Linked DNA regions of Mus musculus: all the other regions are reported to be linked to region 3. The links are microRNA targets in miRTarBase. Many come from high-throughput screens and were not tested one by one. Region 3 holds a microRNA gene; each other region holds the end of a gene's coding sequence.
The links. The annotated mature microRNA mmu-miR-324-3p reads CCACUGCCCCAGGUGCUGCU and lies in region 3 at 2,602-2,621, opposite strand. An mRNA with a match to its seed (bases 2 to 7 or 8) in the 3' UTR can be bound and repressed. Matches are read on the target gene's strand: a 7mer-m8 pairs with bases 2 to 8, a 7mer-A1 pairs with bases 2 to 7 and ends in A, and an 8mer does both.

Region 1 (7,000 bases), not on the chromosome of region 3:
CTCCATAGAAACTCTGTTGCTGTATTTTGAGTTTGACTCTTTCAAACACATCTCCACCACACCTAAGTTCCTGTCTTCTTTGTCTTGTGATCTGTTCTCCATTATCACTTAATCAATCAGTCTATCTACTTATCTACCATCATTAGTATTTTTTTTTTCTTTCCGAGACAGGGTTTCTCTGTGTAGCCCTGGCTGTCCTGGAACTCACTCTGTAGACCAGGGTGGCCTCAAACCCAGAAATCCACCTGCCTCTGCCTTGGCCTCCCAAGTGTTAGGATTAAAGGTGTGCGCCACAACTGCCCCGCTTGTCATTAGTATTTCACTATGCATCCCCGGCTGGCCTGGAATTTGCTATGTAGGTCAGAGATCTGTGTGCACCACCACTCCCAATTGTTTTTAATTCAGTCCTCACTGCCTTCTTCCTTAAATACATCTTTCCTTGTGGTGCTAGGGTTCAAACTTCTGAGGCCTTTGATGATGCCAGGGAAGTGCTGTTCCATTGACCTACATACCTCTCCCCCCTTTTAATGGCAGGGTCTCACTGTAGTCATGGCTGGCCTTGAACCCCCAATCTTGCTTCTGCTTCTGAAGGGTGACATTAAAGGCATACAACACACTCCTGGTCTTCCTACAGTTCTGTCTAGCTTTCCTCTGTACTGCTGGCAGTGATCTGTGTACCCCTGAGATGTGTTTCCCCCTGCATCCAGTCACCTAACAGCTCTGTGTTAAAAGTACTGACTGAATTTACCAACTTCTATCCCAACAGCCATCTTCCTAGAGATCCTATTGTCATCCACCCAGCTCACTAGGGTCTTATATCCCTACATCCATCCTTTAGATGCAGTCAGAGTCCATCCCCTAACCCCTTCAATTTTAGTTAATGCTATGGCATTAACTGAGACCTGCCAAGGTGATGTCCATGCCCATAGGGTGTGCAAACATCCCTAGTGGGCTGTGGAGACTCCCCATTCTCCATATTACCTCCTTGTGGTCCAAGTCACTGTCTCCTCAAATTCAGGAGCAAGTTCTTTCTCTCTCCTTTTTCCTTTTTCCACTGCCTAGTATGCAACTTTCTATACTGCATGTACCATACACACGCGCTGTCCTTTGTGCCCAGACACAGACTGCACCATGCTCAGCCTGTCTAGGCTCATGGTACCGGTCCTTCACACACCTAGCTGTGTTTCATCTGAAGGCTTGGAATGCCCCATCCCATCTTCTTCTAGGTTCCAGATTATATCAATCATGATGCACTTGTTAATTGTCTCCCCTCCTGGCCCAACTGACATTCTACATTAGCCCAACCATATTAGGATCAGATGCTCAAGTGTTTGGCACCCCGAGAGGAAAGCAGTTGATCAAGAGACAATGGTTTTCTACTGGTGATAGTTGGTAGTCCTTCTCCCAGGTCACCCTCCCTCTGCACTGCCCTCAATGATCTGTGCACCCCCAAGATGGCCCCTGATCCAATCAATCACCCAACTGTCGGTTCTATGTTCTTAATGAGCACTTTCTGAATCTGTCCCGTCTCCATACCTGCCAAGCAGCCTCTTCAGACCTAGAGCATCCTCTAGTCATGAGCTCTTGCCTGCTTCCACTCTTTGTGTGTGTACAGTGTATGTGTGTGGATACACAAGCAGAGGCCAAAGGATGGCACTCTATTGCTGTCCAACTTTATCTTTTCCTGAATAAGGACTATGAACCTGGAGCTAATTATGGAGGCTGGCTGGCCAGCAAATTCCTGAGTCTGTCCTCATTTCAGGAACATACCACCACACCCAGCGATTTGTGTGAGTTCTGGGGATACGAACTCAGGTCCTCACGCTTGCAAACACTCTACCAACTGAGCCGCCTCTCTCCTCCTCTTCCTTCTGTGGTGCTGGAGACTGAACCTAGGGTCTCACACATGCCAAGCTAGCACATATAGCCTTAACCCCAACACCTACTCTCTTCAATCATCTAGAGTTCTGAAAAACTATTTTTGGGAAGGACTACATCTCACATCTGCCTTCATAAGAATTTTTATTATTATTTAGAAATGCAGTTATATACATAGAACAATTAAAATTAAATTAAACTTTGTACAAATATTAAAATACTATCTTCATACCCACTGCAATGTACAGGATACCAAAAAATATATATATAAAATAAAATAAAGCAAACCCAGATTGATTGACATCCTGCACAGTCAATTAAGCATGTGTTGTTTAAACCATTTTATGAGTACCATTCTGCAAAGGATCCCATAGTGGTGCACAGCCTTAAGAAGCCAGGCCAGTGTGGATACAGCCATGCAACCCTCAACTACTTCCTCTCCCTACTTGGCAATCCAAGTGCTCTACTCTGCACCCTCATGGTGAGCTCTGCTGCTGGGTGAAGGACGGGTGGGGTGGGGTGCGCTTTGTTCAAACTCTACTAGGTTTTCAACTGCCTAGTAAAATGCCAAGTAAAATATTCTCTAAGGCTGCAGGAGACCCAGCAGGCCCCACAGAGAAGGCTCTAGCTGTACTGTCAGGCGCAAGCATACCTGGAATGAAGCTGTGTGGTAGGCATGCTGTGTGTCCCTTCTTTGTTCTTTAAGGAGGGGGAAGGGAGGAAGGATCTAGAAATGTTTGCAGCATATTCCATTTTCTATGCTAGAATGTTCCTCAGAACAGAGGAGATATTGTTATGCAGGAAGCCAAGTGACTCAAGAGCTCTGATAGGACTGGGAGGAAAAAGGCCAACTGCCATCTATCCCAACTTGGCCACTCTCAAAGCAGGAAAAATATACCTTTGTCTGTCTTGTAGCCTGGCTTCTTTACAGAACTGTAAAGCTGGGGGTGCAAGGAGGGCAGGATGAATGGGGAAGACAGTATGACTTTAAGTTCTCTTTGCAAATGGAGTGCTTGAAGAATGTACATTGAAATGCCTTATAAAACCAAACGAACCCACAAAGTGGTCAGGACTCCGCCCATTTCACAGTTCTCACACAAAACACAGAACTGGGCAGGTAGAGCTCACCTGTTAAACTAAGGCATGGAAGGACGGAATTTTCTATTTATTTATTTCATCATTCTGGCCCTTGAAAACTGATAGAATGTGACAGCAAGTCACCAGGATATAAAACCTGCATTGAGTCAGTGTAAGTATGAAAAAGCAAAAACATCTCCCAAACCAAAAAACCCTGTGTAAAAGTCCTTTGGTGCTGACTGCCTCTTTTGGACAAGTCTCAGGATGTCCCTGGAGGTGAGCCCAGTAAAGTAGGCTGCTTAGTTTCTTCCCACTTGCTCGAAGCTTCTTCCTGCCCATCCGCCTGCCACCTGCCACTGACCCTGTTTCTAGCAGGCTCCACTTCAAGGCAATTAAGTCCCCAGTCCGTCTGTAATGGACAAAGCCCAGATGCCCCAGAAACCACAGCACATGGCTAATGGTTAAGAAATTGCTGTAGAAGAAAACAATGCAGGAAGAAGCCACAGATGCCAGCAACAGGTGTGAGACCTCAAGAACAGACCTTCTAAAAGCCTGTGACAAGAGGATGGGGAACACGGGTGCCCTTTATCCTTCAGTTAGGCAAGCCTGGGCCTGTGATTTCCCCACAGCAGGCTAATGAATGCTGAGAGAAAACGAGGCACCAGGAGGTTCTTTTTCCCAAGGCCAAAGCCAGGCACCTACAAGGCTAAATAATAAGCCAAAGAAGTGCAATCTGTAAGGGGCAAAAGCCCAGGGTAACGACACAGAACTAAAACAGAACTCAGATTTTAGAAGAGCAGTAAGCAAAAGAGGCAGGCCCATTCAGAAGACTCGTGTTCCTTGCCCAGTTCTCCCTTGAGGGGGGTGGACACCACTGAAGCTGAAGAAGCGCCATGGTGAGGTGGCTTGGGGCCTTGGAACCCACCCCCAGGTAAGCCTATGGCAGCACCTGCTAGGGGTGTTCTAGTCGTCTAGTCTAAGCACCTTTTCCAGCTCATTCCTCAGCCAACCATACTTGTCTGGACACTGGGCACACTGGACTGGCCTCCTGGGTTAGTGTGGGAGTGGCCAGCAGGGACAGCAGACACTGCCCTTACCCTGAGAGGAGATGAGGGTGTCAGGAAGCCAGGCATGACAGGGACTAAAGTGCATTGTGAATGGAGGCAGTTGGCTAGGAGAAGTTATTCCCCTATTTTTGAGGCCACAGATGCCTGGAGCTAACCCTGTTGTGTCAGGAACTATAAATATACTGGGCTTTTATTATTTTTACCACCCCAGAGAGGCTCATCACAGGTTCAGTCCAGGACTGGCTCTGAAGAGTTTCCCAGCCCCAAGGCTTGAGGAGGAGAAAGAAGAAGAAGAAGAAGAGGAAGAAAAGGAAGAAAGGAAGAAAGATGAGAAGAAAAAAAAAAAACACACACATTCCTTGATACCACATCTGTCTTCTCAAGATGGTAGAAGCCTGGTGGGGCTCAGTTACCCAGACTTGTCAGCATTCAGTACAGGGCAATAGGAGGCTGGAAATGGCTGGAGCATTTCTTCTAGGCTAGTACGTTCCCACTCCCAGGACCTGTATCTCAGGTTTCTGGGTGCCCACCATCTCTATCAGCTGGCAGGGAAAATAAGGAGTGGCTTTTCAACGATGACGTGTGGAAAGGCAGGGAGGAGAGAACAGAGTGGGAGCAGTGGCACAGCAGGCCACTTCCTGGGCACAGTTACTAAGGCACATGACCGTGGTGAGGAGGATCCTCAGGACCTGCCGGAGCTGCCTGCAGCCACCGGGGACTTGGTCTGTACCTATCAGCCTCCCCTCCATCACCACAAACCTAAAAAGGGGCAACTTGCCCAGACTGCCAAAAGCCAGATGAGCTTTTGTTGGCATCTCAGCAAATCTCAGGATTCTGTGGGCTGCAAGGAAGCCAGAGCTACCTAGGACAAAGTCCAGGAAACAGCATGCAACTTCCCCTTATCCAGGAACAGAAACCAAGGCCAAGGCAGCCAGTGCTGGAAGCAGGAAGTGAGAACTTGAGTATTAGGAAGACAATCATTATCTGACACCTTTCCTCCTTCCCACAGGTCTTCTGGGTGCTTCTTAGAAACTCTCAAAAGAGCCAGGAACCTGCACGAGAGCTGGTCAGCGAGTGCTGGGTGGCTTTGGCATGACTTCCCAAACCTCTGTCCTCAGTTAAGGAAGATGCCGCCATCAGTGTCAACACACAGGGCAAGCTCAGGGACCCACATTCTGGACCCAGCATGAGCTATTCCTGCTTTGAGTGCCTTACTACTCTTCAATCTGTTTCTGCAGCCTCAGGCCTGGCCCCCGGGTACAGGTGGCAGTAGCCACTAAGGCCTGTGGATAGCAACCCACCTGCACAACAGGGAACCTGGACAGGGTGGGGAAGGCACAAGTAAACACAGCAGTGCTCAGGCCCTCATGGCTGCGGGGCTGCCACCAAGAGCTGGCTGGAAGGGACCCAGAGGCTGAGGGGAAGGGGAGGTTCAATCCAGCGCATTCAGACACATCCCTGACAGACAGATGGGAAGGCTGGGCCAGGCAAAGGGCCAGGTCCTCCAGCTGTCCAGTGGGCAGATGGTGAGAATCTTTCTTGAGTATCCATCGAGGTGGCCTGCAGGCTCTCAGGTACACAGAGATACACAGGTGGCAGTTCAGGCATCCAGGTGGGGCAGCTAGAGAGGACATGGTACTCAAACCCACAGGAAGAGAGAGGACGGGCAGAGAGGACAGAGGCCAGCGGCAGCCCTCATGCTTCTTTCAATAGTGGGATATCTGTAGAGACAGGGAGGGAAGTACAGCAGTTACCTAAGGGTGTCTCTCAGTATCTCTTCCAACTCCACCCTAGAGAGTCCCAAACAGCGCTCATTTAAAGAAATAAAACGTTCTGCTGTACATGTCTAAGCTAGTCAAATTTTCCTGCTTTCTATTTCTGGCCTTTCTGCTTCTATTCTCCCACTGCCTGTACGATAAAATCCCAATGCTAAGCCTGGTATCCAAACACCTTCTGGTCCCACCAACATAACCCTGATTCTGTTCTCTGCTGGTCTAGTAACTTTTGATTCTTTTCTAACCTTGCTCTAAGAAGTTTCAAAGTTCTCTTTAAGTTCTACCTTTTTAAAAAAGCTACCTGTCATCTGTGTGAACCTGGACAAATCATTTTGGACCAAACCAGTGGGTTTTGGTCTTCTCATGTCACCAGAGGGGAGAAGTGCTAGACCCATGCTTTAAGATCTGGAATCTGTCTTAACAACACTGGTGTCCTCATCATGGCATGAGTTCAATTTCTTTTCATTATTGTACTTTTAAAAACTTCATTATATATTTATCATTCCTTTTAACATGTGTACATCCACACACTACAGGAACTACTTGATGACGTGCATCTATACCTGCAGGTCAGAGAACAACTTCTGGGAGTCAGCTCTCCCATTCTACCATGTGGGGACTGGGGACCAAATTCAGATCATCAGGCTTGGTAGCAAGCGCCTCTCTCTGCTGAGTCATCTTGCTGGCCTTATTTCTGTATTTGAGAGCCGGGGTCTGTGCAGTCCAAACTACCCTTGACTGTGGTCCTTGTCTTAACCTCTGAAATGCTGACTGCAGGCCTGAGGCACCATATCTGGCTAGCACCACAATTATTGATTCCATTATTTCTCTAGTGCAGGCCTCACTGACTTTCCTACTGATACTCCTTGCAACAGAGAGAGTACTTCCTATTTGCATCAGATCTGAAACCTCATCCAGCACCAAACACAAGATATGGCTTTCAAAAAGTTTTGCTCAGACCAGGTGTAATGGAACATACTTTTAATTCCAGCAGAATACTTTTAATTAGAGGCAGAAGCAGAGCAATCTCTGGGAGTTTTGAGACCAGTTCTCATTTACACAGTGAGTTTCAGATAGCCAAGGTTACACAGTAACACCTGCAATCAGCCACTTGTGGCTAGGGTAACAGGATAGTAGTCTCTGAGCCAGCCTGGGCTATGCAGGAGCCCTGACTCTGAAAACATCAACATCATCAACAACTAC
Region 2 (7,000 bases), not on the chromosome of region 3:
AACACCACGCTCAAGCCTGATTACCGTGGTGTTTGAAGGCAGATTCTGTTGAAGACGCACTTGGGGCAGGGAGAAGGGTTTCTGAGGCACATAGAACAGGCACTCGAGAAAAGGCAGGATGACAGGGTTCTATGGAAAGGGGGGTTAAGTATGGTACATTATTAGACTCGGCATGGACTGTGTTTATGTAATCATAACACTATAAACAAAGAACTAACCCAAACTTGCAACGGGAGTCTGTTAGGATGTTAGAGAGAAAAGTAGGAGCTGTTGGGCTTTATCTACTATGGTGGAAAGCGGAGAGCTATCCAGCAAGGATCGAGAAAGAAGCGGTACACACCGCGAACTGGAGTTAGCAGTGTGAATACTAACCACCTTCCTGGGCTGATAGTAGACAGCAAGCAGGTTCTGCTCGACACCTCCTAGCCGCACCGTGGCATGACCTTGAGTTAAGGAAACTGTCACACCAGTGTGCTCCCTTTGTACCCTGGGACTGATAATAATAGGCTGGAGTTGTGAGGATCAAGTGAGATTGGCTACGTCAGTGCACAGCACAGGGCCTGGCATGTGCTCAGTAAATGCCGTGATAATTTCTGTGGTAGCTGTCAGAGGCTTAAAGAAAGGGTAACAGGAAGGCATGATCAGATTCATGCTGTGGGGGAACCAGCCCAGCAGCAATGATAGGGGTGGCTGGGGGCCAGGTAGGGGGGAAAAGGAGCCAGAGGCTGGAGGGAGGCTGCAGCAGCAAGGCAGAGGCCATTCGGGGATGGCAGTGAGCCCTAGAAGGGATCTGGCAGGCAAGGCGAGAACTCAGACTGCCCCTGCCTAACTCCTTAGGTGTTATAGCTCTCTTCTGCCGCCAGTATGATATCATCAAGGACAACGAGCCCAATAACAACAAGGAGAAAACCAAGAGCGCATCAGAAACCAGCACACCGGAGCATCAGGGTGGGGGTCTCCTCCGCAGCAAGGTGAGGGGAACACCTTGGCTTGGTGGGTGTCCTTAGACATCTGTAGTCCCTAGACTGCACAAGGGAAGGGGTCAGCTCAGGACCTGGCGTGGCAGCAGCTGGGCAAAGCCAAGCTTGGCTGCTGCCGGTGTGACACAGGGGACACTGCAAATTGATTTTGGATCCTTGCCTTTTGCGGAGTGCCAAGGGCCAGTGTCTTTTTTTTTTTTTTTTTTTTAAGACAGCCAATGGGAAAGGCAGAGTTCCTGGTTGCTGTGGTTGGGTCAGCAGGAGAAGGGGTGACATGGCCTGGGGCAGTGTCTTACCTCTGTTCCTTCACTTCCTCTTCTATGAAACCAGATATGATGACACATTTACAGTGCTTGCTCTGAGCAGCTCAGAAGACAGTAGAGAATGCGAGAGGACCTTCTGACGGTGATTGTCCAACATGCATCTGGCCCGCTCTGCGGCTCCTCCCACCTCCATCTTCTCCTATCATCGGGCTTATTATCCTCTCTCTTGGCTTCTCTCTTTCTGATATCAGTTCCTGAAGCCTCTCACTAACCCCTAGCTCCAGGAGTACCTCAGCAATGTCCATGGCTGAAGCTACACCCAGAGACAGAGCTGCAGAATGAGAGAGACCCAGCCGGAGGGATGCCATTGCTGCGGGGTAGACTGAGTGCCAAGGCTCTTGGCACAGGACTCACATCTGGGCCACTCAGCTTGACCGAAGGCTGTGTGTGAAAGGGGAGAAAGACGAGACTTCCAGGCAGGGCTATTCTTTTTATTTCTGCGAGGGACAAGAGTCTGGCTTTTAAGCTGCAGCCCCGCTGTTCCTTTTCTCCTCTGTCCCATTTCCTACCTTACATGAAATCCATTCAACCGGCTCTGGACACTTCTCTTATCTGTTCCCTTCCTGGTTTCCAAAGAAGCCCTCTGTGAACATCATCAAAGCATGGGTACCCCCATCTGCAAGGGATGGGCTTCATCCTCCGCTAGTCCCTGTGTCCTTCCTGGGCACGGGGTGAGAGCTGTAGAAGCGGTGGGGGCACAGCTAGCCACAGTTTTTCCTTTTCCCTACCTTAGTCTGACAGAGGAGGTTGAACTACAAACCCAAATTCTGCAAAAAAAAAAAAAAAAAAAAAAAAAAAAAAATCAAATAAGCCACAAAGCTAAAAGACTGCGCCCCATTCTGAAGAAGGCACAAGTACATGGGAGAGTCCTGCCTTACTTCTCCTGGACTGGCTTCCTCTTTGAGAAAATGCACAAAGCTCTGGGAGAAAGCAGCTACCAAGACTATCTGGAACTGTGTCTGTCAGACCAATGGTACCAGGGAGGCTGCAGTGCTGCCAGCTTTTCAAGGGTCCTGACTCTGTCAGACACTTTCTGGATTCAGCCACTAAGGACATCTGTGGTACAAGGTGCACCTTTGCAAATGTGTATGATGCCAGTTGTTTGGACTCTTGGAAAACACCACTGGAGGGCTTTGCTCCAGAATGCAGACCGCTCTGCCAAGGCCTCCATGTCTGCTTGCATCTAGCTTGCACAAAGATAGATCTTTGTGGTGAGATCATCTGTGTGGAGTTTTAAGAAGCTCTGGAAGAAGGTACTGCCCGCGTTTAAAGGAAGTGCCTTGGCTGGGGCAGCAGTGTCAGCTTGGATAACTGAAAACACCTACATCCTACAGCATAAAGAACTGCTGAGCGAGCTACTGGAAAGCCGTTTACACCAGACAGGCAGAGAGCAGAGAGCAGCCACTGTCACTATCTTGCCATCTCATTCAGGGTCCTCTGAAAGTTACCCAGGGCTCTCATCTACTTCCCTAGAGCTTGCAGTGTAAAGTGACAGCTAGTGTGCTCCCTCTCTCCCTCCCTCCCCCTCCTCTCCTCTGCCCCTTACTGGTTTAAAAAAAAAAAGGTGCTTGATGTGGCAGCAGACTTCTTGGAGACTGAAGCACAGTGGCTGCCAGACGCCTGCACTGGAAAGGCGAACGAACTCTGTATCTTCCATCGGTGGCCAAGGGAGTGTGGGTGGCTGTTCCCAGCACATAGTAGGTGCTTGGTAAAATATCTGTGGTACTGAATGTTGAGCACAGGTGCCCAAGTCAGAGAGCTGAAAGCCATCACCCAATGACTGCCCCTTCATTCGGGTCTCTAACAGCTCTCCAAGCTGGGTCAGCCACCACTGTGCTCGCTCCAACTGCGGGTAGCACAGGAGAGGAGGGACGGATAAGGGCAGATGTCAGCAATACTAAGGGCTTCCTCCTGGGAGGGAATGAGGTTCCACTCATTGTCTCGTGACTTCCATCCCTGCTGAACGGGGCTGCAAGGCCAAGGCTCCTTAAGGGAGGTCCTTACCTCCAATCCAGTTAGAGCAATAACCACTTTTTAAATGTAAAATAAAGACAAATGAAAAGGCACATCCTTGTCTTTTGGTAAATGCCCAAACGTTGCCCTCTTTTTCTGGCAATTGGCAGCAAGTCAGGATGTGTGGAGGAGGGAATCAGTCCTCTTCCATTTTGGCCTGCAGCTTCTTAGGGACATGCCAGCCAGCCAAGCTGGAGTTGGAAGGGAATTCTCGAACAGATGGGGGTGCACGTGTAGGAGAAGAAAATAGCTGCTCCACCATCGTCTTTCTGAGGCTCCTCTCTAAGCCCAGCTTGGGCTGCCTCACCACATAGGTATGCAAGCATCTGCTCAGTTTCTTAAAACAAAGGGTTTTCCTCTCAGGAGAGGGCTGGGCGCTTATTCCTGCCAGAGGGCTGAGGTTCTCATCTGGGGTGGGGGTATGGAGTGAAGAACTGCAGAAGCAGCTTTCTGCAGAAATCATTCGGTATTCGCTCTGCGTTCTTCTGGGCTGTTAAAGGAACATCATTAAGATTCCAACAGCAGGTTGAAAGGCAGGCAGAGGAATGACACCATTAGCCAATGAGCAGACCAGTAAATAGGGCACCTTAAACACTCCCGTCCAGAGCCAGGCGAGAGGATGTCAGATGTGCAGGGTCTGAAAGCAGAGGGAGAGGAAGTCCTCAGAAGTCCCTGAACAGACAGAATGCCAAACCAGACCCCAGAGAGGCTCCCTCTGCCCGTCTGCTTTCAACTAAGACGCGGAGAGGCCCTGGGTAGAGGTAGGTAGTGGTGTCTGGAGATCCTGCTATTTGAGCAAGGTTTCCAGTTTCTCCATGCCCGTGGTACACCGTAATGGATCCGAAGGGAATAACTATCCTTCTAGCTTAGAGGTTTGTCCTTTCTCCTGTAGTAAGGATCTCACTCTTCCTGAATCAACTGTTACTTGCCATCAAATACTACAGCTATTATTTAAGAAGTGGTCCCTCTGTTCCTTTCAGGTGACTCCAATGATTTTTGCAATTTGGGAAAGGTCCAGGCAGCTCTGAGACCAAGACCACAGCAGGCTTGCAGGAAGAATGCTGGATAGAAAGGCAGGAGACCCTGACACCTCGGGTAGTCACTTCTCTGAGGGGGGAGTAGCCTTCCTTTCTACCAATACTGCATGCAGATTTCCGGAGCCTACCTACCCAGTATACTAACTAAAGGCTGCCCTAGAAACCTCGGTGGAAGCCGAAGAGATAAGGCTGCCAGGTATTGGAAACATGAATGAGGCTTCAGACATACTTTATTTACTTACTAAATTTTGTTTTAAGTATTGCTTCTATAAACAGAATTCTGTCCACCCCCAGGGCCAGTCCACAGATTAAAAACAAAACAAAACAAAACAAAAAACAAAACCAAACTTGAAAATATAACCTGAAGTTAATAAGTTAAGGACATCTCAGATAGTAACCTGGGGATACATTTCAGGATTGTCACTGAATTGCCAAAGGTCATATTCCTCCTATTTCTGGCTGAGTGCTAGGAAAGGCCAGATTTCCCATCTACGGCGTGTCTCAGCTGTTAGGGAGGAATAAATGGGTTGGAATGACAAGGCAAGTGCTTACTTATTAAGGAATTCCAACATCGACCAGTTGCCTCTGTGACAAATGGAAATATTTACCCGACAGGTGCCCCCAGTGTACCCACACACACATATTCTCTCTCTCTCTCTCTCTCTCTCTCTCTCTCTCTCTCTCTCTCCCTCTCTCCCTCCCCCTTGTCCCCTCCCCCTCCCTCCAAACCTTTGGATTATTTAGGGAATAAGAGGAGGACCTTAGTTTCTCGTCCTATAAAAGCTCAAGATGGGCTTCTCAGAGAATGAGCCTGGTCCATTTCTCCTTTTTCTACCAACTTCTCTCTAACAAGATGAATGAGACACCATCATTTCAGAGGATTCATCCTGGTCTCTGAAACCTTTGATATATATGGTAAAAACTAACCCTGACACAAACAGGAAGTAGTTACCAAAAGGTCCTCTACACTTGACAGGAACATTACATATACACGGGTTAAGAAAACCACACACTGAGACAAGCATATCAAACAGCTAAGTGTTTACCACATTTCTGTGCAAGCTTTTGCCTAGAGTAAAGAATGGCTTTGTCTAGAAAACACACACACACACACACACACACACACACACACACACACACACACACACACACTCCAGACAAAACTTGGCATGGTAACACTTGTCTGTAATCTCCTTCCTTTCAGGAGACGGAGGCAGGACTTAAGTTTGAAGCCAGTCTGGGTTTCATAGTGAGATCCTGTCTCAAAATACCCACAAAATGTAAAGATCAGCAGGTCAGAGAGCCTGTCCAAGTATGTTGCTACTATTTTCTCAGCAGGAGCTGGGATTTTAAGAGCACTGGCTAATGTAGGTGACAATCTATTATTGCTGTCCTTATATCCTTGCTCTGAGGAGGCTTAGGTCCATAAAGGGGTTTAAAGAAGGTTCTCTCTCCAGCATCTACCCACATACATCCAATCTTCACACCGGACAGTTGTTCTTGGAGCAACAATTTCCGGAGAAGTTGGGTTAAGAACACCCACCAGGGGGCTGGTGAGATGGCTCAGTGGGTAAGAGCACCCGACTGCTCTTCCGAAGGTCCAGAGTTCAAATCCCAGCAACCACATGGTGGCTCACAACCATCCATAACGAGATCTGATTCCCTCTTCTGGAGTGTCTGAAGACAGCTACAGTGTACTTACATATAATCAATAAATAAATCTTTAAAAAAAAAAAAAAAAAAAAAAAAAAAGAACACCCACCAGGGGCTGGCGAGATGGCTCAGTGGTTAAGAGCGCCGACTGCTTCAGCGCCGACTGCTCTTCCGAAGGTGCAGAGTTCAAATCCCAGCAACCACATGGTGGCTCACAACCATCCGTAATGAAATCTGACGCCCTCTTCTGCAGTGTCTGAAGACAGCTACAGTGTACTTACATATAGTAAATAAATAAATAAATCTTAAAAAAAAAAAAAAAAGAACACCCACCAATTTCAAATGACTAATTCTGGTTTCTCCTGTTTCCAAAGGGAGAATGCCCTGGAACCGCATGGTTTCCTAAACATACACAGTGGCCGGCCATGGATCCATGGGAAGGGAAGGAATGCAAGGCACTGCCCTCCCGCCCGCTACCGGCTGCCTGGTCTCCCCCGCCCTCTGCACAGGGATATTTCAGGCTCTCCCAATGTCAGGCTCCTGACATGCACCATATGTAGCTGCAAATCCTAATCAATTGCAACATTTCTTAACTGCTGGAACGCCTTCCCCAGCACTGTAATTTACCCTCAAAAGAACAGGGAGCAAGCACTTTCTCCTTCCCAGAACCATATTCTACTAAATGCCGCCACCCTCCCAAGCAGAGCGACCTACGCAGAGGAAGGCAGAGAGTGCTCCTCCAAAGCCCGGAACAGACGGCCACAGTACATATGCCACTGACGAGAACTTTTATTTCTTTTTAATGACATTAAACACAACTGCTACAAGGGGAAAAACATGATAAAAAAGGAGGCACCAAACTTCAGTTTCATAATCGACCCCGACAACAACTCGAGTAAATCAGAGCCCGATGAGCTGCAGAGCTATTGTTATTTCGGCTCCTGACCTACACAGGAACTATTTATCAACAACACATTTTAGCTTTGCTTTGTCA
Region 3 (7,260 bases):
TTCCTTGCCTAGGAATCGAAGTCCTTTGCTGTGGGGATGTTCAAAGGCCAGCTTACCATTGATCAGGTGTTCCCATACCCATCTGGTAAGTAAAGGCTTAGTCAGTCACTGACAGTGTGGGCAGGGGAGCCCTCTCTGCCTGACTAGCCTGCTCTTCTCTCCCATTATACAGTGCTCAGTGAAGAACAGGCACAATTTCTCAAAGAGCTGGTGGGACCAGTGGCCCGGTTCTTTGAGGTAAGGGATGACCAGAGCTCAGCCCCTCCTGGGCTAAGTAAGATGCTAAGGAGCTTAAAGGAGCCTCTGAATATGAGATTCTTCCTATTCCTTGCTCAGGAAGTGAATGACCCTGCCAAGAACGACGCCTTGGAGAAGGTGGAGGACGACACTTTGCAGGGACTCAAGGAACTGGGGGCATTTGGCCTGCAAGTACCCAGCGAGCTGGGTGGTTTGGGCCTCTCTAATACCCAGGTGAGAGGATCCCCCTGGTTAACATTCCACAGTGCTCCAGTTTTGGTAGACTCACCACTAGGGCCAAGCAAGTAGCCAGAGTAGTGTCTACCTGCCTGCCCTTTTTCTCACACATTTTCCCCTGAAACATGATCTGTGTGCAGCCCACTAGGACCGTGGACCTAACTGTGGTTCCCAGGTCTTTGGGGACTGTGTGAGGCAACACAGCAGGCAACCTTCCCATCAAGACCAAGGGCAGCTGGGCACAGTGGCACTCATCTTTAATCCCAGCATGGAGGATGGAGGCAGAGGCGGGCGGATCTCGAGTTCAAGGCCAGCATGGTCTACAGAGGGAGTTTCAGGACAGTCAGGGAAACCCACAAAGTTTCAGGCTAGCTGGAGCTACAAAATGAAACTGCCTCAAAAGGGGGGGGGGGGATTATCTAAGCCCTTTGATGTTCCTGCTCCTGTCTCCTTAGGAAAGACTCCAGGGTTTCATGCTAGAGAAGCAGCCTACCTGGGAGCCCCATGGCCAGCCTCCCTGTGCCCTGTCCAAACCCACTCCACTCCCCATGCTCAGAGTAGAGATGCTCCAAGCCCCAGGCCAGGTCTGCCCTGCTGCCCATTCTTGTTGAGGACAAGTTCAGTGCAGCCAGCTACAATCCCAGATGCCTCCTTTCCCTCCAGTATGCTCGCTTGGCAGAGATTGTGGGCATGCATGACCTTGGTGTTAGCGTTACCCTGGGAGCTCATCAGAGCATCGGTTTCAAAGGCATCTTGCTCTATGGCACAAAGGCCCAGAGAGAAAAATACCTTCCCAGAGTGGCATCTGGTAAGGCAACCTTAAGAGACCCAGGGGTAAGGAGTGTGACACTGCTCACGGTGTTACAAGGAACTGCCTGGGGATGAGGGGGTGCAACTCTGGTGGTCAGGATCCCCAGTGAGCCCGTTCTCTCCCCCACAGGGCAGGCTTTGGCTGCTTTCTGCCTAACAGAGCCCTCGAGTGGATCCGATGTAGCCTCCATCCGAAGCTCAGCCATACCCAGCCCCTGTGGAAAATATTACACTCTCAATGGGAGCAAGATCTGGATCAGGCAATCTTCCGTTTCTCTTCTACCCTTCAGCCCAGTGGCCTGACCCTGCTGCTCTAAACCCTATACTAACCACCTCACTCTTCCACAGTAATGGGGGCCTGGCTGACATTTTCACTGTCTTTGCCAAGACGCCAATTAAAGATGCAGCCACGGGGGCCGTGAAAGAGAAGATCACAGCTTTTGTAGTGGAAAGGAGCTTCGGAGGGGTTACCCAGTGAGTATGGGGCAAAACAGAATCAAGGATGGGGACAGCACTGGGCTCTCAAGAGCAAATAGTCAATACAGGCCACGCTGGGGCTATCTCTGTACAAGAGGCACCCACAGGAGGTGAGCAGTTTTGTTTCCACTGGGGGAACACAGGCTAACAGGCCATAGCTAGATATCCGTAGCCCCTGGGGCACATAGGCAGTGCCCTGTATCCTTTTTATAGTCTGGGGAGTTCTCCCCTGATCATGAGACCCGAAAAGGCCGTTTTCCCCCACAGCAACCTGTTCATACCTCAACTTTCCTGCCCTGCCTTTTCAGTGGGCTCCCTGAAAAGAAGATGGGCATCAAAGCATCTAACACGTCAGAGGTGTACTTTGATGGAGTGAAGGTGCCATCAGAGAATGTGCTAGGAGAGGTGGGAGATGGCTTCAAGGTTGCTGTCAACATCCTCAACAACGGAAGATTCGGGATGGCTGCAACCCTCGCAGGCACCATGAAATCCCTCATTGCCAAGGCGGTGAGTCCCAGCCCAGTCCCTAGCTAGCACATGTCCCTGACTGCCTCAGAGCGCCGACACACACACATGCACACTCGACCATCGGCACAGTTAGGCCTCCAGCCCGTCCAGGTGGAAACTGAAGAACCACAGTGGGGTAACATGCGCCCTCTTGCAGGTTGATCATGCTACTAATCGTACCCAGTTTGGGGACAAAATTCACAACTTTGGGGTGATCCAGGAAAAGCTGGCTCGGATGGCTATTCTGCAGTATGTGACTGAGGTAAGGGCCTCCTGGGCCCCTTCCCTGGAGCCCTATGGCTTTCTTCACAGTTGGGTCAGACTACAACCCCCAGCAGCACCTGGGGCAGTGGGTCTCCAGCTTTACACCAATGCCCTAGGGGATGCGAGGAGGCATAGTCAGTTCTCTTCTGGAGGGTGGTGCTGCTCTGCTAAATGCTGCCCAGATGCACCAAACACGACTTTTAACCCACCCCTTTACAAAGTCGGAAGCCTCGAAGCCCCTGATATACCAGAGGGTCACATATTGGACATATTTGACCTGACCAGGAGGCTAAAGTGAATTCAAGGGTTGGAGGAGTAGATCAGCACTGGTCTTGAAGGTCTGAGCATTAGCCATTCTGTCTGATGCAGCCCTTCCCTGTTGTCTTCCCCATGTCCCGACCATGCTCCCTTAGTCCATGGCTTACATGCTGAGTGCCAACATGGACCAGGGATTCAAAGACTTCCAGATAGAAGCCGCCATCAGCAAAATCTTTTGCTCGGTGAGGACCCAGGTGTGATGGGAGGGCGGAGTCCAGATTAGGACCTCAGCTCAAAAATCCAACTCATCTGGTTCTCTGTCCTCAGGAGGCGGCCTGGAAAGTGGCAGATGAGTGCATCCAAATAATGGGGGGCATGGGCTTCATGAAGGTACAGAGTATTCCTCGGCAGGGGGGGGCATCTGTTCAGAGTGGACAGGCACATCTCAACAGAGGTTTCTGTGTCTTCCTGCGTGCCAGGAACCAGGGGTGGAGCGTGTGCTCCGAGATATTCGAATCTTCCGGATCTTTGAAGGGGCAAATGACATTCTTCGACTGTTTGTGGCTCTGCAAGGCTGTATGGTAAGAGGAAGGAGGATGAGAGAGAGCAGCTGGGGAGGACACTGAGTCCTCACTGTCGCCGTCCCCCTTCTCTCCACAGGACAAAGGAAAGGAACTCACTGGGCTGGGCAATGCCCTGAAGAATCCTTTTGGAAACGTTGGCCTCCTGATGGGAGAAGCAGGCAAACAGCTGAGACGGTACCTCATGGGCCGGGGCCAGGGTCAGAGTCAGGGTCAAACAAGATGGGAGGCCGCAACTGACCAGTCACTCTTCCATCTCCTCTCAGGAGGACAGGAATCGGCAGTGGTTTGAGTCTGTCAGGGATTGTCCACCCAGAGTTAAGTCGCAGTGGTGAACTGGTGAGTGAGCCTTAAAGCAGAGCCTGCGGTGGCTGTGCGCTGCCTTCCTCTCCTGAGCTCTGTCTGTGACTCTTGTCTCTTCAGGCAGTGCAGGCTCTGGATCAATTTGCCACCGTGGTGGAGGCCAAGCTGGTGAAACACAAGAAAGGGATTGTCAGTGAGTGAGCTCTGCAACCCCCTTCCCTCCCTGATTCCCTCCCTCCGACTAACAGCCCCACCCTCATCTACCTGACAGACGAGCAGTTCCTGCTGCAGCGACTGGCGGACGGCGCCATTGACCTCTATGCCATGGTGGTGGTTCTGTCCAGGTAAGGCGGCAGCGAGGGACGCTTGGCAGGCTAGAGCCACAGAGGAGCTGGGCCAACACCAGCACTCAGGATCATTTTAACCTCTGTTTCCTCACAGAGCCTCAAGGTCCCTGAGTGAGGGCTACCCGACGGCACAGCATGAGAAAATGCTCTGTGATAGCTGGTGCATTGAGGTGAGCCTTGGAGCTCCCCAGTACAGGTGGGCCTTGGAGCTCCCCAGTACAGGACGGCCTGACCGTCCCTCCCCTTCCCTCTCCCCAGGCTGCAACTCGGATCCGAGAAAACATGGCCAGTCTGCAGTCCAGCCCTCAGCATCAGGAGCTCTTCCGGAACTTCAGAAGCATCTCCAAGGCCATGGTGGAGAATGGTGGCCTGGTCACCGGTAACCCCCTGGGAATCTGAGACTCCCAATCAGGCCCTGGCAAGGTCATGTGCCTTCTCTGATGCCAAAACCCTTTATGGGGGTGATGGAGTACTTATTGCCTTAACAATAAATTTTCTACCAAGTCACTGTCTGCCGTGAATGTCACTGCTCCCTCCTCTCCACTGCCTGCCTCGCAAAGAAAGGAGCCAGAGGCTTGGGGAGTTGGCCTCTATTTGCTTTATTTGGTGTTTTGTACAAGTGACTAAAATAAATAGAGTAACAAAGGCAGCTACACAGTCCCCAACACACCACCAGCCTCCTTGGACTGCTGTCTGGGGTACCCAGCCCACACCTTCTTCTTCCCAGGGTACCACTGACCACCACCCACCCTCAACATGAGAGCTGACTAGGCACCTGGAGGTGGCGGTCATATTCTGGGGTTAGAAGGGATTCTCCATATAAAAGAGGAACTGTCTATTTAAAAAAATACTCCCCCAAATATAAGAAAGTCTATTTTAACCCCCCAAAAAGCTTATAAAAAATAAAGCTAAAAATAACCAAAGGTCCCCATCTACCCCCGAGGAAGAGGGGGAAGGACCAGGCACTGCTGGTGAGAGTCACAGTGGCAAAAACGTTTTGGTAGGCACCAGCCGCCAGGCTGAGCCCAGGCACTATGAAGGGCACCAGGCTGAAACTTGCCAGGCCAAGGGCACAGACCCAATGTGGCCTCAAGATGGGTCCCTACATAACATCCACAAAAAACTCACTGGGGTTGCCCATGGCCATGTGGAAGCTCTGACGGCTAGCTGTCAGTTCTGGGGGCACGGAGCCCAGGTCTCTGACTGGAGGGGCACCAGGGGGCTGCACTGCTGTGGAGACAGGGGGTGGGGGTGGAGGCATCATAACTACCATCATGGGGTTATAGGGGAGAGCCATGCCAGATGGGGCTCCATAGGGATGGAGCCCGGGAAGAGCTCGGAGATTAGGAGGAGCGCCTGTCGAGCCCCTGGATGGAGGAGGGCCGCCATCACCAGTCCCACCAGGCTCCCCACCCCGCCGAAGGCTGCCTCCCCGGCTGGAGAGTTCTGACTCACTGCCACTGCCGGACTTGGACTCAGGGGCCCGTTCCTCAGGCCTGCCTGTGCGCCCAGCCCCCCCATCGCTTCTTGTCGACCCGCTGCTCCGGCTCCCTGTTGGAGGGCAGAGGTGACGAGGAAAATGAAGCTCAGCCCAGAGTCCTCAGGATCCCAGTCCCTGCTCTTGCCTCTCCTCCCCGAATCCGCTCTACTTGTGCCCACTTTCTCTGGCTGTACTGGTACGTGGGAGTGGGTCACTTACCCTCACTGTGCTGGCTGCTGGCACTGCCTCCACCATAGGTGTACGAAGAAAGCTCGTGGTAGGGTGGAGGCTGGGGGCTGTAGGGGTGTGGCGCTGGATACTGGTAGGAGAAGGTGGGCAGCAGGGGCCAGGGAGTAGCTCCAGGCAGAGGTGCCAGGGTATCCTGGTCTGAAGCCCCACTGGAACCGTCATTGTCATTCAGAGAGAGGTTAACTAGGTCTGGAAAAAAATGGAAGAGAGGTCCCTGCTTTAGGAGGCCAGGATTCCTGAGAACAGAGAAACCTGAGCCATTTCCCCAGAGCTCCCCACGAGACAAAAGCCAGAGACCATGATGGCTTACAACAGGAAACTCTGCTGCTCTGGCAGAGAAACAGCCAGGACTCTCACCAATAGCCCCAAAATGCTTTTGTGAGCCCCGTGCAGCACTCTTTCCCTTGGGGATGCAGCTCAGGTACCTCGCTTACTCAGCAGTACTACTCAGCAGTACCGGGGCACACATCAGCCTGAGCTCCTACAGCCAGACCTGCTGACTTACAACTCTCACAGCCACCACTGAGGTCCCCGAAGACATAATAGCACTGCTCAGAGAAAGTAATCTTGTTGACGGTGTGCCGGATGAGTCCCGCCTTCAACAGCCCACTGGCATACTTGCGGGCCTCCCGGCGCTCAGGAAAACCTTCCACGTGATGGTACAGCCAGTCCACCACATCGGAGCCTGGGATCCAGCACAGCAAACAGGTCAGACTCTCCTCCCAGCTCCTCCCCTCCCCTCCACCTTGTGTTGTGCCCAGCTTTGGCCTCCTCCCCACCTTCCCATGCCACCTTGCTCAGGGCCTGGGAATACCTAGAAAGGCGTTTGGGATGGTGATCTTGAGCCACATGCGGTCCCGGACTTCGAGCCCAGACTCTGGGGCTGCCATGGCCTTGGTGACAGAGGCCATGTCCATGTGGACAGAGAGACCCCGGCCTTCGCAGCCTGATAGGAGAGACCACGGAGAACTTACGAAAGGTCCCTCACACACCCAGGGAGGCGGGAAAGGAGAGAGACTCACCATCAGGCAGAGAGGAGCCAGATGTGATAGTGCTCATAGATGAGGAGCCAGGGTAAGCAGGGAAGGCGCCAGTCAGCGCAGCCGAGTGCGACACCCAGGCGGCTGGGTCGATGGGCTGGATGGGCTCATCTAGGACAAGAGTAACGTGAAACACCAAGATGATTGCTGCTCAAGCCTGGAAAACTAGGCCTGTGTGTTCCAGAATTAGGAGTTCTGTCTACCCCCATCCCTTGGCCCTCCTGAACACATTCCCTACAACTTCCAGCTTTTCTCATCTCTTTTTGGGCTTGTTTGGTTGAGGCAGGGTTTCACCCTGTAGCCCAGGCTGGCCTCATCCATCTAGAGATCCTCCCGCCTTAACCTCCCAAGTGCCCACGCTCCCCAGATCTCCTAACTCCAGACCCCAGCCCCAGCATCACTCACTTCGAGGGAGGGTGAAGTAGGCCTGGGGAGACGGGTCCCAACACTTGGCCACGGTCAGCACGATG

Region 1: miRTarBase lists Susd6 as a target of mmu-miR-324-3p. Seed matches in the 3' UTR shown: 7mer-m8 at 4,041-4,047.
Region 2: the mRNA of Fndc5 is a reported target of mmu-miR-324-3p. The part of its 3' UTR that is shown has no 7-base or 8-base seed match.

What each region holds. Positions count from the first base shown.
Region 1 is chr12:80,875,839-80,882,838 of GRCm38, reverse strand. Susd6 (sushi domain containing 6) reads right to left here. Exons shown (of 6, transcript NM_178682.4): 6 at 2,006-5,743. The coding sequence ends at 5,718. Among named protein-coding and RNA genes, the nearest start is that of Gm23298, 32 kb to the left of the region's middle.
Region 2 is chr4:129,141,225-129,148,224 of GRCm38, forward strand. It overlaps Fndc5 (fibronectin type III domain containing 5), which reads left to right. Exons shown (of 6, transcript NM_027402.4): 5 at 838-971; 6 at 1,311-3,369. The coding sequence ends at 1,316. S100pbp (S100P binding protein) reads right to left here. Exons shown (of 7, transcript NM_001379590.1): 7 at 6,778-7,000. Among named protein-coding and RNA genes, the nearest start is that of Fndc5, 7.7 kb to the left of the region's middle.
Region 3 is chr11:70,007,456-70,014,715 of GRCm38, reverse strand. It overlaps Mir324 (microRNA 324), which reads right to left and starts at 2,673; the gene lies at 2,585-2,673. Dvl2 (dishevelled segment polarity protein 2) reads right to left here. Exons shown (of 15, transcript NM_007888.4): 10 at 7,196-7,260; 11 at 6,773-6,901; 12 at 6,565-6,696; 13 at 6,256-6,435; 14 at 5,721-5,939; 15 at 4,607-5,572. The coding sequence ends at 5,124. Acadvl (acyl-Coenzyme A dehydrogenase, very long chain) reads left to right here. Exons shown (of 20, transcript NM_017366.3): 4 at 13-85; 5 at 173-237; 6 at 337-471; 7 at 1,138-1,282; 8 at 1,415-1,544; 9 at 1,633-1,758; 10 at 2,070-2,268; 11 at 2,426-2,530; 12 at 2,946-3,032; 13 at 3,118-3,180; 14 at 3,270-3,371; 15 at 3,451-3,548; 16 at 3,638-3,710; 17 at 3,795-3,867; 3 more. The coding sequence ends at 4,420.